3 linked regions of the Neurospora crassa OR74A genome follow. The protein of the gene in region 1 purifies or fractionates together with the protein of each later gene. This does not show direct contact. Links are inferred from orthologs where the notes say so. Each region holds a gene or a part of one and is shown on either strand. Other genes may lie near its edges.

Evidence for each region. The genes of interacting proteins can lie anywhere in the genome.
Region 2: the proteins of rpa-1 (region 1) and mei-3 purify together in Saccharomyces cerevisiae (affinity purification with mass spectrometry; 4 studies listed by BioGRID, with this or other methods). This does not show direct contact. The link is inferred for Neurospora crassa OR74A from reciprocal best matches to the Saccharomyces cerevisiae genes RFA1 and RAD51.
Region 3: the proteins of rpa-1 (region 1) and NCU02011 purify together in Saccharomyces cerevisiae (affinity purification with mass spectrometry; 5 studies listed by BioGRID, with this or other methods). This does not show direct contact. The link is inferred for Neurospora crassa OR74A from reciprocal best matches to the Saccharomyces cerevisiae genes RFA1 and KAP95.

The regions. Positions count from the first base shown.
Region 1 is NC_026505.1:1,822,029-1,826,827, forward strand, and holds rpa-1 (replication factor-A protein 1), read left to right. Parts: upstream 1-1,500; 5' UTR 1,501-1,737; coding exon 1,738-1,769; intron 1,770-1,830; coding exon 1,831-2,091; intron 2,092-2,152; coding exon 2,153-3,592; intron 3,593-3,653; coding exon 3,654-3,753; 3' UTR 3,754-4,180; downstream 4,181-4,799. Other genes in the region: NCU03605 (amidohydrolase), read right to left, coding at 1-910; NCU03607 (threonine dehydratase catabolic), read left to right, coding at 4,746-4,799. UniProt on the Saccharomyces cerevisiae protein: As part of the replication protein A (RPA/RP-A), a single-stranded DNA-binding heterotrimeric complex, may play an essential role in DNA replication, recombination and repair.
Region 2 is NC_026501.1:3,388,502-3,392,921, forward strand, and holds mei-3 (MEI3), read left to right. Parts: upstream 1-1,614; 5' UTR 1,615-1,832; coding exon 1,833-1,928; intron 1,929-1,989; coding exon 1,990-2,137; intron 2,138-2,209; coding exon 2,210-3,027; 3' UTR 3,028-3,298; downstream 3,299-4,420. Other genes in the region: NCU02740 (hypothetical protein), read left to right, coding at 1-792; NCU02742 (hypothetical protein), read left to right, coding at 3,902-4,420. UniProt on the Saccharomyces cerevisiae protein: Required both for recombination and for the repair of DNA damage caused by X-rays. Its function may be modulated by interaction with other repair proteins. RAD52 interacts directly with RAD51, via its C-terminus.
Region 3 is NC_026501.1:1,680,964-1,685,674, forward strand, and holds the start of NCU02011 (importin subunit beta-1), read right to left. Parts: upstream 3,423-4,711; 5' UTR 2,821-3,422; coding exon 2,769-2,820; intron 2,644-2,768; coding exon 2,585-2,643; intron 2,504-2,584; coding exon 1,697-2,503; intron 1,643-1,696; coding exon 226-1,642; intron 172-225; coding exon 63-171; intron 8-62; coding exon 1-7. UniProt on the Saccharomyces cerevisiae protein: Importin beta subunit that functions in nuclear protein import through association with the importin alpha subunit, which binds to the classical nuclear localization signal (cNLS) in cargo substrates.

The DNA of each region.
Region 1 (4,799 bases):
ATACCACTTTGTCCTCCTCGTCCACACCTTCGTGTGCACGGTCGATCATTTCTACCGCCTCCTCCAGTTGGATTCTCCCTCTTTTGTGCTGGTCAACACCCAGGTCAAAGACGAACTTCTTTCTGCCAAGCAGCTTCAGGCCCTCGATAAAATCGTCACTTAGGGCTGTTCCGTTGGGCTTATCTTGCAGCAAGTAGCGGAAACCCTTCACCTTGGCCCATGTTTCAGGCCCGGCTTCCTTTTCCGCAGCTGCGAGATACTTTTCCAACTCGGCAGAGCCCAATACAACCGGCGCCCACGGCACAATTCCGAGACAATCACGGCCATCGTCAGCCGTGTGGCCCTCGCCAGGCTTCGGTTGGCCGGTTACGATGCGGCGAAGCCATGCGATCTCTTGTAGGGGGTAAGTCCAATCCTTAGCATTGTCGTTCTTGCGGTCGACCTCAATTGCGACGTAGCCCTGAAGATTGCCAGGCGCACCGGTGGCGGTCTGGTATTCCTGGATGGAGTGCTGCTTGGCGAGAGGATTGTCTTCAGCGTACCACTGGTGGGATTCTACCTCGGACTGGGGATAGAGGTGCACATGGGTGTCGATGATGGGAACGGAAACGGCGGGAGATGATGCCATTTTGATCAGGCCGTTATCGAGCTCGAGTTTGGTAAAGCGACGGATATGTTTGGCAAGAAAGTAAGGTATCCAGTGATAGAGAAAGAGAAGGAGACAAGCGAAGCAAGCAAAGTCAGAGATGACAGGAAGTAGGAAGGTCAGGACGTCGAAGCGGTGTACCGTCCTGCAGGCAGACCAACGCTGAACACACAAAAGTAGAGGTATGGATGGGATGTAACTGAGGCAACGGGGGAACTTCCAATCGAGCCTTCTCCTTCTTATATTTTGTATTCGTTTTAGCATAGGCAGGCACGCGCTACAGTACGAGGAGAGTACCTCGATGGTCAGGAGGGGGTGGGAGATGGGATCGACACAGACAGCCAGGAACCACGACGAGGTGGGGTACGTTCGGCATGCAAAGGGCAGGCCCAAGACGGGACAATTCACACCGAAAGATTCAAAGATAGGGTTCCTGATCAAGAATGGTTACCTCCCGTCTTCGGTTTCCATTTCCTTGAGGAACCCAAGGTCCTTTTCCCTTTCGTCTTCCTACAGCACCGGAAGAAAGATACCCTTGTTATGTACAGTCATCACATGATTGTGCGAATATATTAGCAAAAAGGGTTCTATCTGCAAGACCTGACAGAGAAATCATGACATGTTCCAAAAGCTTAAGAAGTGAACGAGGCCAAGAGGGAAGTTGAGCCCCTGGAACTTGCTGAAGTTGAGCTCTCGGGTGGGGTTTGATGTGGAGATATGGGGTTGGCGGGCAACTGCCATGCTTGTCAGAAGCGCTTGGCAGCAACACTCCCCGGCAAACGCAAACTACACGCGCTATACAAACTGGGGCCCTCCGCACGGACCGTGGATGCCTAGCAATTAAACTCTTGCCCCTCCTCGACGCGCTGCCAAACGCGTCGCTGCTGCAGTCCATTGTTTGTGTGAAATTTCCCCTCCAGACCACCATCATCATCAGTCCAACACACTCGATCCATCCGTATCTTGTCGGATCTTTCTTGACTTCTGCGCCCCAATCCTTGCATCTTCGAACACGACTCACGCATAAATCAACCTCAAAAACAACATCGAGAACGTCTCCACGGGCTTGACGCCAACACTACCCAACCAACATGGCGGGTCAAATCACACAGGGCGCTCTGGAGTAGGTTTCTTCACGTGTGCTTCCATCCAGTAGTATGACAGACTCTGACTTCTTGCTATAGCGCCATGTTCAATGATCCCGATCGCGCACAACAACAGTTCCCTGTCCCCATCCTTCAATGTCTCCAGATCAAGACCCTCGACTCCAAGAATGGGGGCGCGGGCGCCACGGAGAGGTTCCGCATTGTGCTGAGCGACCTCAAGAACTATGTCCAATGTATGATGGCCACGCAAACAAACCATCTTGTTCACGATGGCCTCCTGCAACGCGGCTGCATCGTGCGCTTGAAGCAGTATCAAGCTCAATGTCTCAAGGGCAAAAAGTACGCCTATCTACCCCTCCGCCAATTCGGGAAATCCATAACACTGACTGTTTAAATCCAGCATCTTGATTGTCCTCGATCTCGAAGTTATCCAGTCCCTTGGCTGTCCCGAAAAGATGGGCGATCCACAGCCTCTTGGCCCCCGCAGTGCAGAACCACAGCAGAACCCCAATCTCGGCAGCACCGGCTTCTATGGCGTCAAGAGCGAACCTACCCAAGACACGAAACCACAGTTTCCACGCCAGATGCCCTCGCGTAATGCCAGCGGGGGTCAGGGATCAAGCACGATATATCCTATTGAAGGTCTCTCGCCCTTCTCGCACAAATGGACCATCAAGGCCAGAGTCACCTCCAAGTCCGATATCAAGACCTGGCACAAGGCTAGCGGCGAGGGCAAGCTCTTCAGCGTCAACTTTCTTGACGAGAGTGGCGAAATTAGAGCAACAGGATTCAACGACCAAGTCGACCAGTTCTATGATTTGCTACAGGAGGGTCAGGTTTACTACATTTCTACACCTTGCAGGGTACAGCTTGCCAAGAAGCAATGGTCGAATCTCCCCAATGACTACGAGCTCACCTTTGAGCGGGATACCGTGATCGAAAAGGCCGAAGACCAGACATCTGTACCACAGGTACGCTTCAACTTTGTCAACATCCAGGAGCTTCAGGATGTTGAGAGGGATGCGACTGTCGATATTATTGGTGTCCTCAAGGAGGTCCAAGAGGTGACCCAGATTGTATCCAAGACCACACAGAAGCCGTACGACAAGCGCGAGCTGACCCTTGTTGACAACACTGGGTACTCGGTACGTTGTACCATCTGGGGTAAGACGGCCACGAACTTTGATGCTCAGCCTGAATCCATTGTGGCCTTCAAGGGCACAAAGGTCAGCGATTTCGGTGGACGCAGCTTGTCCCTGCTTTCGTCTGGCACCATGGCCATCGATCCGGATATTCCAGAGGCCCATCATCTCAAGGGCTGGTATGATAGCAGCGGCAGGAACAACACCTTCGCCACCCACAACAACATGCAGACCTTGGGTGGTGCGACCGGTCGCAAGGACGACGCCAAGACCATCTCACAAGTAAAGGAAGAGAACCTTGGCACAAACGAGGCGCCGGATTACTTCGCTCTCAAGGCAACGGTTGTATTCATCAAGCAGGATAACTTTGCCTACCCTGGGTGCCGAAGCGAAGGCTGTAACAGGAAGGTCACAGATATGGGTGATGGTACCTGGCGCTGCGAGAAGTGCCAGATCAACCACGATAGACCTCAGTACCGTTACATTATGAGCGTCAACGTCAACGACCACACAGGTCAACTTTGGCTTAGCTGCTTCGACGATACGGCGCGGGTCATCATGGGCAAGTCGGCCGATGAACTTATGGAGATTCGAGAGACCGACGAGACGCGGTTGCCCGCCGAGTTTGAGCAGGCCAACTGCCGCAAGCTGAACTTTAGGTGCAGGGCGAAGATGGACACATTTGGTGAACAGCAGAGGTACGTATCGGGGGTTATTCTCACGATTAGATGGACGTTGCTGACACATTGCTTGTTGCAGGATTCGATACCAGGTCATGAGCGTGGCGCCCCTTGACTACAAGATGGAAGGAAACAAGCTTAACGAGCTCATCAATTCTTACAACCAAATGAGCATGTAAAGGGGAGGGTGGGGTTTGTTCACTTATGCGAGGAACTAGATGATGTATATGGTTAATGAACACGTGTTTGTATTTTCGGGCATGTGGTCTCAAGGATGAACGATATGGGCATCACTGGCCTATCGACTGAAAGATGATTTGCAGTTTCATGATGGACTGGGATGGTTAAGAGCTGTGATGGGCCGAACCCTAACAGAACTTTGTTGGCGTGGCAGCAAATTTCGGCATGATTGCAGACTTGAATAGGTCTCTCAAGCGTTATCTTGGAGTTGAGACACTAGGAGACCTTCCTGTTCGAGTTATCTTCGATAACATGCCGAGGTAAGTACACACGCTTCGTTGACTAGAAGAAAGCTCCAGAGCTGGTCAAGGTCGGATCAGGGCGGTCCTTGCAATGTAATACGCACCTTTCGGGCTCAATATCCACATGGCAATCCGATCATCTCATCCGTTATCGGCCTTCTTCACCCTCTCGTATTCTCAAACTCTTCTATGCTTCAGCTTTTTCACGCAAAGAACCCGTGGCACAGCCTTTCCTGGTCATCTTTCTTCACTTTCCAACTTCCGTTATGTGAATAGGCACCCCGGCTCCGGTCTCTATGCGGACTGTTTAGCTGCTCGATACCGTATCGGCACTTATCGATTACGCAGATGGATGACAGGAACCTAAACGCCGTATCTTCCTTATCGGCCGTCGTCGGGATCCCCTGCCGTGACTCCACATATCCGCCGTCCAGACCCGCCCCCGCTCCGTTCCCTCGGGCCCCCCACTTTCGATGTAGCGGGAAGCTGACACCGAGTTCTAGAACAAAAGACTATTGAAATCACGTTTGAACCGTATTCGTGTCAGCACTAAGACCAAGTTAAACCTTTATCTTTGCTCATACTTCTCTATCCCATTCAGTGTCTTCTTGTTGTCTACTTACACTCATCACCTTCCACCAACATCAACAACAAAGTGACAAGCTTCAACCTCTCAAACCTCCAACGAAATGGCCGACCCCAGCACCACCCCTCCCCTTACCCGTGCCTCCGTCCTCGCCGCT
Region 2 (4,420 bases), on another chromosome or scaffold:
AAGGCGCGGATCAATAACATGCGCAGCACGGGGCTCCAACCTACCTCTTCCAAGCGCGCAGCAGCCAGCACCATTCCTTTTGGGGTCCGGGCGATCCAGAGCGGCGTCCAAGTTGACGGCATTTGGATTTCGAGACCGGCGACTCCCACCGAAACAAAACCTACCTCGGCGGTGACGCTGGTGTATCTGGGCGCGGAGCAGCAGAGGAGGGAGAAGATAAAGGGGGCGGCAGGTGTCACGGCAACGGCAAGAAGCCCTGTCACCCCCGACGGCTCACTCTTGCAAGGACTGACGGATTCCGAGTCGTTGGAGAGTGCCTCATCAGGGGCAATCCCCCCACCCATCCCACGAGACCAGAGGCATGATTACCCTCGTCGCCACGGCTTGCGGGTTCCCCATGCTTTGAACGAAGATACCCTCCGCAGACTCGAAGGCCAAGACGGAGGAGCACAGCCGCCACAAAGACCAGCAGTCCATGACATCTATGTGCCGACCAGAAACTCCCAACGACAACAAGAGGCCCGGGATGGGCACATTGGTGGTCCTACCAGGCGAGACCAGCAAATCACTGATTCTAAATCAGGCGACTCCTACGCTGATTCTGCCCATCAGCGGTTACCGAGAAGCGACAGTGGAAGATCCTATAACTCATCCAGCGGCGGCGAAGGAGGGGAAAGACTGTATGAGCCAAGAGGAGCTGAAAGAAGAGATGTCGCCGTCGGTGATCCCTTTGGCACTCCCTCCTTGCAGGTGATATATCAGCAGCACAGCAGGAGGATACGAAGCCCATGATAATCACTGCCCCTGAGCCGACCTTGGGGCCTAGGAATTTGCATTTTACACCTAACAACAGATCTGCTGCTCGGAGAGTCGATGACGGGTTTTGACATCCTACCTGTGGGAAGGCTTGGAACACCGGGTATAGAGCCCAGGATAAACCATGACGCATCTTAACAGTCCGCAAGGGGGGGGAGGGAAGATGGTGAGGTAATTAGCCAGGGTAGTCGTGTGTCTGGGTATGGATGGAGGTAGTGAGTGAGGAGCATACATCGGCCTCTCCAAAAGTTGCATTGTTGGGCCATTCTTGCGGTTTTCTTTTGTGGGTGTTCCCTGAGATTTGTTCAAATGGGACACAGGCGGCAGACGTCGTTAAATGACTGTGATACTTGGTCCTAGAAACCGAGGTGGCAAAAACTCGGAAGAGGCGGCCGCGTCGAGAACCTAATGAGCAAGAGTTGTTGTCTCCTCTTTGGATAGGGTGTTCTCGGACAGAGGGCAGTAGGAATAAAATAGCATGAAAACTGTATCTCTGTATCGGTGTACGCCGTAAATACGAAGACGCCTGTGACAATGTTGACGGGGAGTACCATAGTGTTTGTGGTGTACGGAATTGGCATGAAGTGACAAACCCCCAGGGGTGACCGTTCGGTTCGTTGTAGCGGACCCCACAGGGGAACCATCCTGTCGCCTCCGTCATTCCCGTCTGGGCTCCACTGAATCTAGGCATCCGGCGGGGCCAATGGTGTCTAGTAGGTACCTTATTAGTATCCCGCATGCTGGGCTGGATTGGTCATCCAGGTCACATGTTAACGTGTCGCACTTCCCCAATTTGTAGGACGCGGGTCGCGCTCTTGCCTGCTGTTTTCGCCTCTGTCAACATTTGCGTATCCTTGGCTCCAGTCCCGCTCGCTTTTTTTTCTTCTTGCGCCTTTCTGTCTTGCTTTTCTGTGGCCATATCCAAGACGTTTTCGCTCGCTGCTGGTCATACATACCATCACTAAACGTAAAGAAACCCCGAAATTGTTGCACCGAAGAGCACAACAAATAGCACGATGTCGAACAACGAGGAGTACGATGAGTCTGCCAACATGGAGGACGACAGCGGGATACCAAACCCAGGCGCCCCAACACCACTTTCTGCTCTAGAGGTACGGATCACTTTCTTTGATGGATCCATCCGGATTGCAAACAACCAACTGACTTGCCTAGGGTGTTGCCGGACTTACCAAGCGAGACATTCAGCTGATTGTTGATGGAGGCTTCAACACCGTTGAATCTGTTGCCTATACCCCCCGGAGGGTACTGGAGCAGATCAAAGGTATTTCGGAGCAAAAGGCAGGGAAAATCCTGGCAGAAGGTCAGTAGCCAGCATTTGACATTCCTAGAGGTTCCATTTTGGGAGTGCATGATTACTGACACTATCATCAAGCCTCTAAACTTGTGCCTATGGGTTTTACTACTGCGACGGAGATGCACCAGCGCCGCAGCGAACTGATTTCCATCACGACAGGCTCCAAAAATCTGGATACACTATTGGCTGGTGGTATCGAGACCGGCAGTGTCACCGAAATCTTTGGAGAGTTCAGAACAGGAAAGTCGCAGATCTGCCATACTCTTGCGGTAACATGCCAGCTCCCATTTGACATGGGGGGTGGTGAGGGAAAATGTCTCTACATCGACACTGAAGGTACCTTCCGGCCTGTGCGTCTCCTAGCAGTGGCCAACCGATACGGTCTCTCAGGCGAAGAAGTTCTTGACAACGTTGCGTACGCAAGAGCCTACAATTCGGACCATCAGCTGCAGCTCTTGAACCAGGCCGCAGCCATGATGTGCGAGACCCGCTTCAGTCTGTTGATTGTCGACTCCGCGACCTCGCTCTACAGAACGGACTTCTTGGGTCGTGGCGAACTCAGTTCCCGCCAAACCCATCTCGCAAAGTTTATGCGCACACTCCAGCGCCTTGCCGACGAGTTTGGTATTGCGGTGGTGATCACCAATCAGGTCGTGGCGCAGGTTGATGGTGGTCCGTCTGCCATGTTTAATCCAGACCCCAAAAAACCAATTGGTGGCAACATCATTGCGCACGCCAGTACTACTCGCATCAGCCTGAAGAAGGGTCGCGGAGAGACCAGAATCGCAAAGATCTACGACAGCCCATGTTTACCAGAGAGCGACTGCTTGTTTGCCATCAACGAGGACGGCATTGGTGATCCTAGCCCGAAGGATATGGAGAAGATGAATCAGTAGTTTGCAGTGGGGATGGCGACAGCAAATCAACACGAAATTCATACAACAATCTAGGGACGCAAGGGGCTGCTGATTTGACGGTATAAGGATAATGTGTGTTTTTGATGGGCATAGCGCGTTTTTATTGTTAGCATGGGAGGGCAGCCTGGCGTCACACTTGTCTGGTATGACTGGTAAAACTTGGGAGTTGGTAGAGTTATCAATAACTACGGTACACTGTTTTTTTTTTCTAATACAATCGACGAAGTGAAGCCGTCAAAGTCATCTCGCCAACTGATCATTTGACCTGTGCAGAAGCAGCGTCTCGATGCTGAGGGCAAGTGTCACAGGTTTGATCATCCAAAGACCTCACCACCGAAGCTGAAGCTCTCGTTAACGTGAAGGAAATTTCATTGAAATCCAAGTTGCTGTCGTCCATACTCGTGATGCAACAGGCCATGCACCACATAATCTTCGAGGGAATGTGTCAGGACAAAAGGTACGCTCTGTGACTTGAAGTTACAGATTAAGGGCTATCATCCATCTAGCGTTGTTAATAAAATCGCGGATTTCAAAGGCTATTGCTTCCTTCTTGATGTGACGTACCACCTTGCAGTGTGTCCTATTCGCATAGTCTCTCACTAGCGCGGGATACTTGGGCTTAGCACCGAGTTTCCCCACCAACCACGCCAGCGATTGACTGACCCGCTGCAACTGCTACCGACGCTTGCAGCGTTGCGCTGTGCTTGGGAACTTGAACAGTTGAACTTCTGCTGCAGTGGGCGGCCAGAAATTCTGAAGCCAAAAGCAACAACCGCGTTTGCATCTCCAAAAAGCGCGACAGCAAACTCTCAACATTTCCTATACCGCACCGGAAGATACCCATGGGAACAAAATGAGCGCACGGGATTTTGAGATTCTCTACAAAGAGACGCGCCTTAACCTCGAGCCGTCCACGTCGTCGTCGATTGTCCAGATCCGCGTCGGATCGCACAACCAGAGCTCCTTCAGCAGGTCGACAACAGCAAGCGCGCGTGCCATCAACGCCGCCGACGACGAGAAGGCCTACCGAACCCGTAACATAGCCACTGCCTCATCAGTATACTACCGAAAGCACCATGCCTCGCCCCGTGCTTTCCATTGGCGGGTCCTCGAGAATGACACCGTCCTGAGCATCCGCGCGGCCGATGTCTGCAAACCAAACCCCCACCAACAACACAACGATACCGACGCGCCCTTGGTCTTGAACCTGCGCTTCCCCTCGCCGATACGAACCTCTTGCATTGGCTTTTCCGACCCAGAGGCCCATGATGCCCTTTGCGTCCATGTCGTGGACCAGTCCAACCAGCTTCACACCATCACTCTTCGCCCAGATCACTTCAGGAAGAGGCCAGCAACCGATGGCGGGCTGGGT
Region 3 (4,711 bases), on another chromosome or scaffold:
AAGATCACTAGATAATCGTTAGTGTTTCTATAATGTGTTGTCTCAACATCATGCCAACTTACCCGATGACACCCATAGCGGCCCGCATAAGGGCTTCGCTGCGGTTAGGATCCTGAGCAATAGTGTTAAGAAGCTCAAAGATCGACTGAACGTAGGGCTCGAGAACGTTGGCTGTACGACATTTGTCAGTCTCTGCAAAGCGCGCTTAAGACCGAGGAAACTTACTCTTATCGCTGCCCTTCATGGCACCAATGATGCCACCCCAGGCGTCCATAATACCCTCACGGAGAGAGATCACATAGTCGAACATCTCATAAGAGCCCTCGGCGGAAGCGGTAACGGTAGCAGCCTGCTGAAGGACAACAGCAACAACCGAGAGGTAAGCCTCAAAGTGACCGCCAATAGCGCCAGCAATATCGCCGAAGCACTGCAAGATTGCAGGCTTGAACTGGTTGGCAAGAGCAGTGCTCCTAAGATTGTTAAGGAGATAGTTCATGAACTGATCGCAGTATGGCTGGCTGCGTTCGCCCATGGAGCGAGTGATATCGCTGACCAGGCCGATAGCCATGGAGCAGAGACTCGGCTCTTCCTGGTTTGCCAGGGCATTGTACAGGAAGGGAGCAAAAGCGTCCATGTACTTGGCAAAGTCCTCCTCCATGGCGTTCGCAAGGCCGCTGATGGCTGCGAAGACACCTTCAGGAACAGCCGACTTGCCATTAATAGTGTTCAAGAGCTGAAGCAGAACCTGCATGATGCGGTCGCCTTGGGGAGTGATCTCCTTGTCCAGGCGCTGAATGATTGCCTGGAGCACGGTGCAGAGACTGGTCTGCATATCCTCGAGAGTGATCTTGTCTTCAACGCTGACAACTTGGGATTGCAGGGGCAGTGTTTCCTCCAAACGTTGAAGGATAACATCCGAGAGGGATGCAACAGCAGGGAGACTGTCGTTGGCAGCATTCTGCACAAACACGTTAAGAACCTCGTAGGCAGCGGTGCGAACTGTAGCGTCACCGTCAAGCTTCGCCGTCACGGCGAGCAAGTTGGTCACGCACTGGTTGAAGTGAGGAGTAATGGGGTTTTGCGCGGCACCATATTCGCCGCCAAAACGCTCCGCGAGGTTCATCAAAGCCCAGCAGCAGGACGCGGCCATTCTGGGGCTGCTCATGAGGCCGTTGAACAGGGAGGTGATCAAGGGGTCAAGGTGAACAGCAGGATCGATCACTTCCGAGCAAGTTTCTGTAATTCTGCCAAGAGCGTATGCGGTCGAGTCACGAACATGTAAAGAGGGGTCCTCCATCATGCCGATCAAGGGCTGCATGCCAGACTTGACGATAGGCTCAAGCAACTTCTCCTCGGGGCCGTCCATCATGGCACCGAAAGCAGAAACAGCGGCATCACGGAGGTGCCAGTCGTCAGCGCGAAGGTTGGCTTCAACGAACTGGATGACTGGCTGGATGATTGCCGCACCAACAGCCTGAGAATAGAGTTGGAGACACTGGTACGCGGCACGCGAAATGTTGTACTCGTCATCAGCCGCATCCTCATCTTGCTTGGTGAGGAGCTGTAGGAGCACAGGGACCACTTCGAGTGTAGCAACGCGGGCGAAGTTGTAGAAGGGGCGCATCTGCTCCGAGCTCTCAACCTGCAGCTGTTGTTAGTGGGATTCTTGCTCAACCAAGGTGGCAGTGAAACGTACCTGAGCATTGTCATCTTCGATAGCAATCTCCTCTTCGCAAACGGTACTCCAGAACTCAACTGCAAGCTTGGCCACATCCTCGTCATCGCTCTTCATGCCCAGGATGGTGAGACCAAACAAAGCCTTTTCCATGTAGAAGCGCATGTTCTCGTAGTAGAGGGCCATGATGCGGTTGAGGCAACCATAAGCACCCTGCTGTATCCGAGAGTCCTCGGCCTGTGTCGCCTCGCAAATAACCTGCATAATGTAGTTGCGCTCGCCCTCATGCTTAAAGTTGTTACCGACAAACTCAAGAGAGTCGCCGAGGGCGGTAATGGCGGCAAGTCGAACTTCGCGGTTGGGCTCCTCCTTACGAGCACCTTGGACAACAGCTGTGAGGATGGCATTGGAATGTTGAACCAGGCTGTTTCGTAGATCGACATCTTGACTCTCGCAGATGAAGCCGATGGTGGTCAGAGAGGCCTGCTTCTGGTGCTCGCTTCCCTCGCTAACATTCTTGACCAGGGCGTGCATAAGGTCTGGCCACTCGTTTCGTGGTAACTCGATGGTAGCGATAGCCGCGATAACCTGCGCCGAGGCCTGGCTTGCCTGGGTACTGCTGGAGGCGAGGGTCTCGAGGGTGAGCTGTTTCACCCGTGTCTTTGTGTCTTGGTCTGTCTGCTGAAGCCATTTTGCTTGGAGCTCTGCTTGCCTAGCGAACTCGCGAGCACTGAAGGCGTTCTTGAGGGCGATACCGGCCGCCGCTCGGATGTGGCTCTGGGCGCTCTCATTTGCCAACTCTTGGACAAGTGTCACGAGGTATTGAGACTAAGAAACAGCCAAGTTAGCGTTTATGAAGGCCTTGCTGTGGGGACGCGACACAGGAGCAACGAGGGGAGGAGGCCATACGAAGTTTGTCTGAGCGGCTTGGCTGAGCTGCTGTTCGGCAGCATGTCGCAGGGTCGCGTCTAGAGACAAGGAGTCAGCATGTGCGTCACGGCTTGGACGAGCTGACGCGATTCATCATGGCGAGAGCGGCTGCCAAAAGGCAGGAGGGTCGGGGCATGGGTGAGGATGTCGAATATATACTGACCAGGACTCAGCGAGTTGGTGAGGACGGTGTTGATATCTGAAGAGCCCTCCATGGTTGCGGTTTGGATGCCTGGTTCGGAGGAAGAACGGGTCTCTCTCCAGCAAACGAAGCGGGTTGGCGGTGGTAGTGGGAGAAGAGGGAGGGGGGGGGTTTCCGAAAGGGAGAGAAAGTCGGCCTGGGCTTGATGCAACTAAAGTTTTGCTGCGTGGAACAAGCGGGGGGCGGGAGTCCAAGGTTCACGGTCCACAGCAACCTTGAATCTTAATCGGGGCAAGACTCGATTTGCTTTCGGTGAGATCAGATCGAACCGCAGAGGCGAGGCGCAGATGCAGAGCCGTGGGTGGGATCTGGATGCCAGGTGATGGCGGTTGGTGGATGGATGGTATCGATGCGGTCCGTCTGGAGACGATTGCGATGGGGATAGAGAGGGATGGATGGGGGATGGCGATGCGAGGGGTTTGTCGCTGTTCCGAGCGTTCGCCTGCAAGTGGAAGGAGAGAGGAGAATCCAGACACAGTGCAGTGCTGACGCCGAACTGCGGGTCTTGTTTTGCTCGAAAATTTTGTCAACAATCGCAGGTGCTGATGCTTCGCCGTGCTGGTGAAGGTGCAGGTGGGTGGGTTGTGTATGCTTTCAGTTTCGATGCTGTCCGGCTGGGGGGGGGGGGGGGGGGGGTGTTGTTGCCTGTTGTTGTTGGGAGGGACGGGAGCCTGTAACGTATCCCAGTACCTAGTGCTGTGTTTGGTGTTACCTTCGTCGCCTGGCTCGTGCGGTTTCTTCGCTAAACTTTTGCTGACCAGGCCTGAAAGGTCGACGGGAATGCTCGCCTGCACCAAACGGCTCGCTCCGTGTTTCTCGGGAAAGAAGGAATTAGACGTCTCACTGCAGGAAACGACTTGGGAAGAAGGGACAATGAAATGCAAAACCTCTGCAAACACTTCAAGAAGACGCTTTGCCCACGGGCAATTGAACAAAGTTTTAGGATAAAGAACATCTGTCCTTTCATGTGAAGTGGAAGTAAAAGATGGCACATGGTGTACCTAGGTACCTATGATGGATGTCTCCAAGAACACAACTGAGGTGGCCAGGCTCCCACGACGCCCAAGGCTCAGTGCTTCACTACTAGCAACTACACCCTACCCGGCAACCGCAGGGCTGCTAGACGTTGAACGGGGGTCCAGGTGCCGCATTTGAAGTGGAGGGCTGAAGGCCGGGGGGTCGTGGAAAAGGGAGGGTGAGAGAAGTGACGTTTCTATCCGCTTCCAGATGTGCACTGTATCTTTTCTTAGGCGTTACCACCAACTCTACAGAAACTTACCAACAACAGTTACCTGCGGACCAAGGTTGAGAGACCTATCCTCTATGACGCACACCCCCTCCCCGCCCAGATTGTGGTCTCTCTTAGTTACAACTGAAGTACCTACCTACGTATAATGTTGCTTCCCTGGCGCTTGTTCAAAGGTCCCTGCCTGCCTGGCCGGCTGCCAGACAAGCCAGACTTCCATGCTAACAGGCAAAAGGAGATGGGGCTCTCATCGGCATTGGCTGCCTAGGCTAGCAGTGACTTCCCTCCCTAATATGTAGGGGGTCTCTGAAATCCAAGAAGCCCCCATCCCTTTTCTTCCAGAACACCCGTCAACAGAAAGCGTTGTGGATGTAGTGACCACTTCTAAACTGTTAGATAAAGAACGCTCCTTGTCGTACCAGTTAATACCTACCTACCTAGCGATTATAAGAAGGTACCACAGATTCACGATCAAGCTCCCTCTCCAGCATCCCTCGGGGATTGCTGTGTCGTCCGTATAAGTCTTCCCACCAAGATAAATACCTGCACTTAATAAGGGACAGCCAACGGCTATTTGGTTGGGTTTCCAGGGCCTACACTAAGACAGAAAACACTCGGCCTCCATTACCGTTACTGTTTTATAAAGTGCATAACAGAC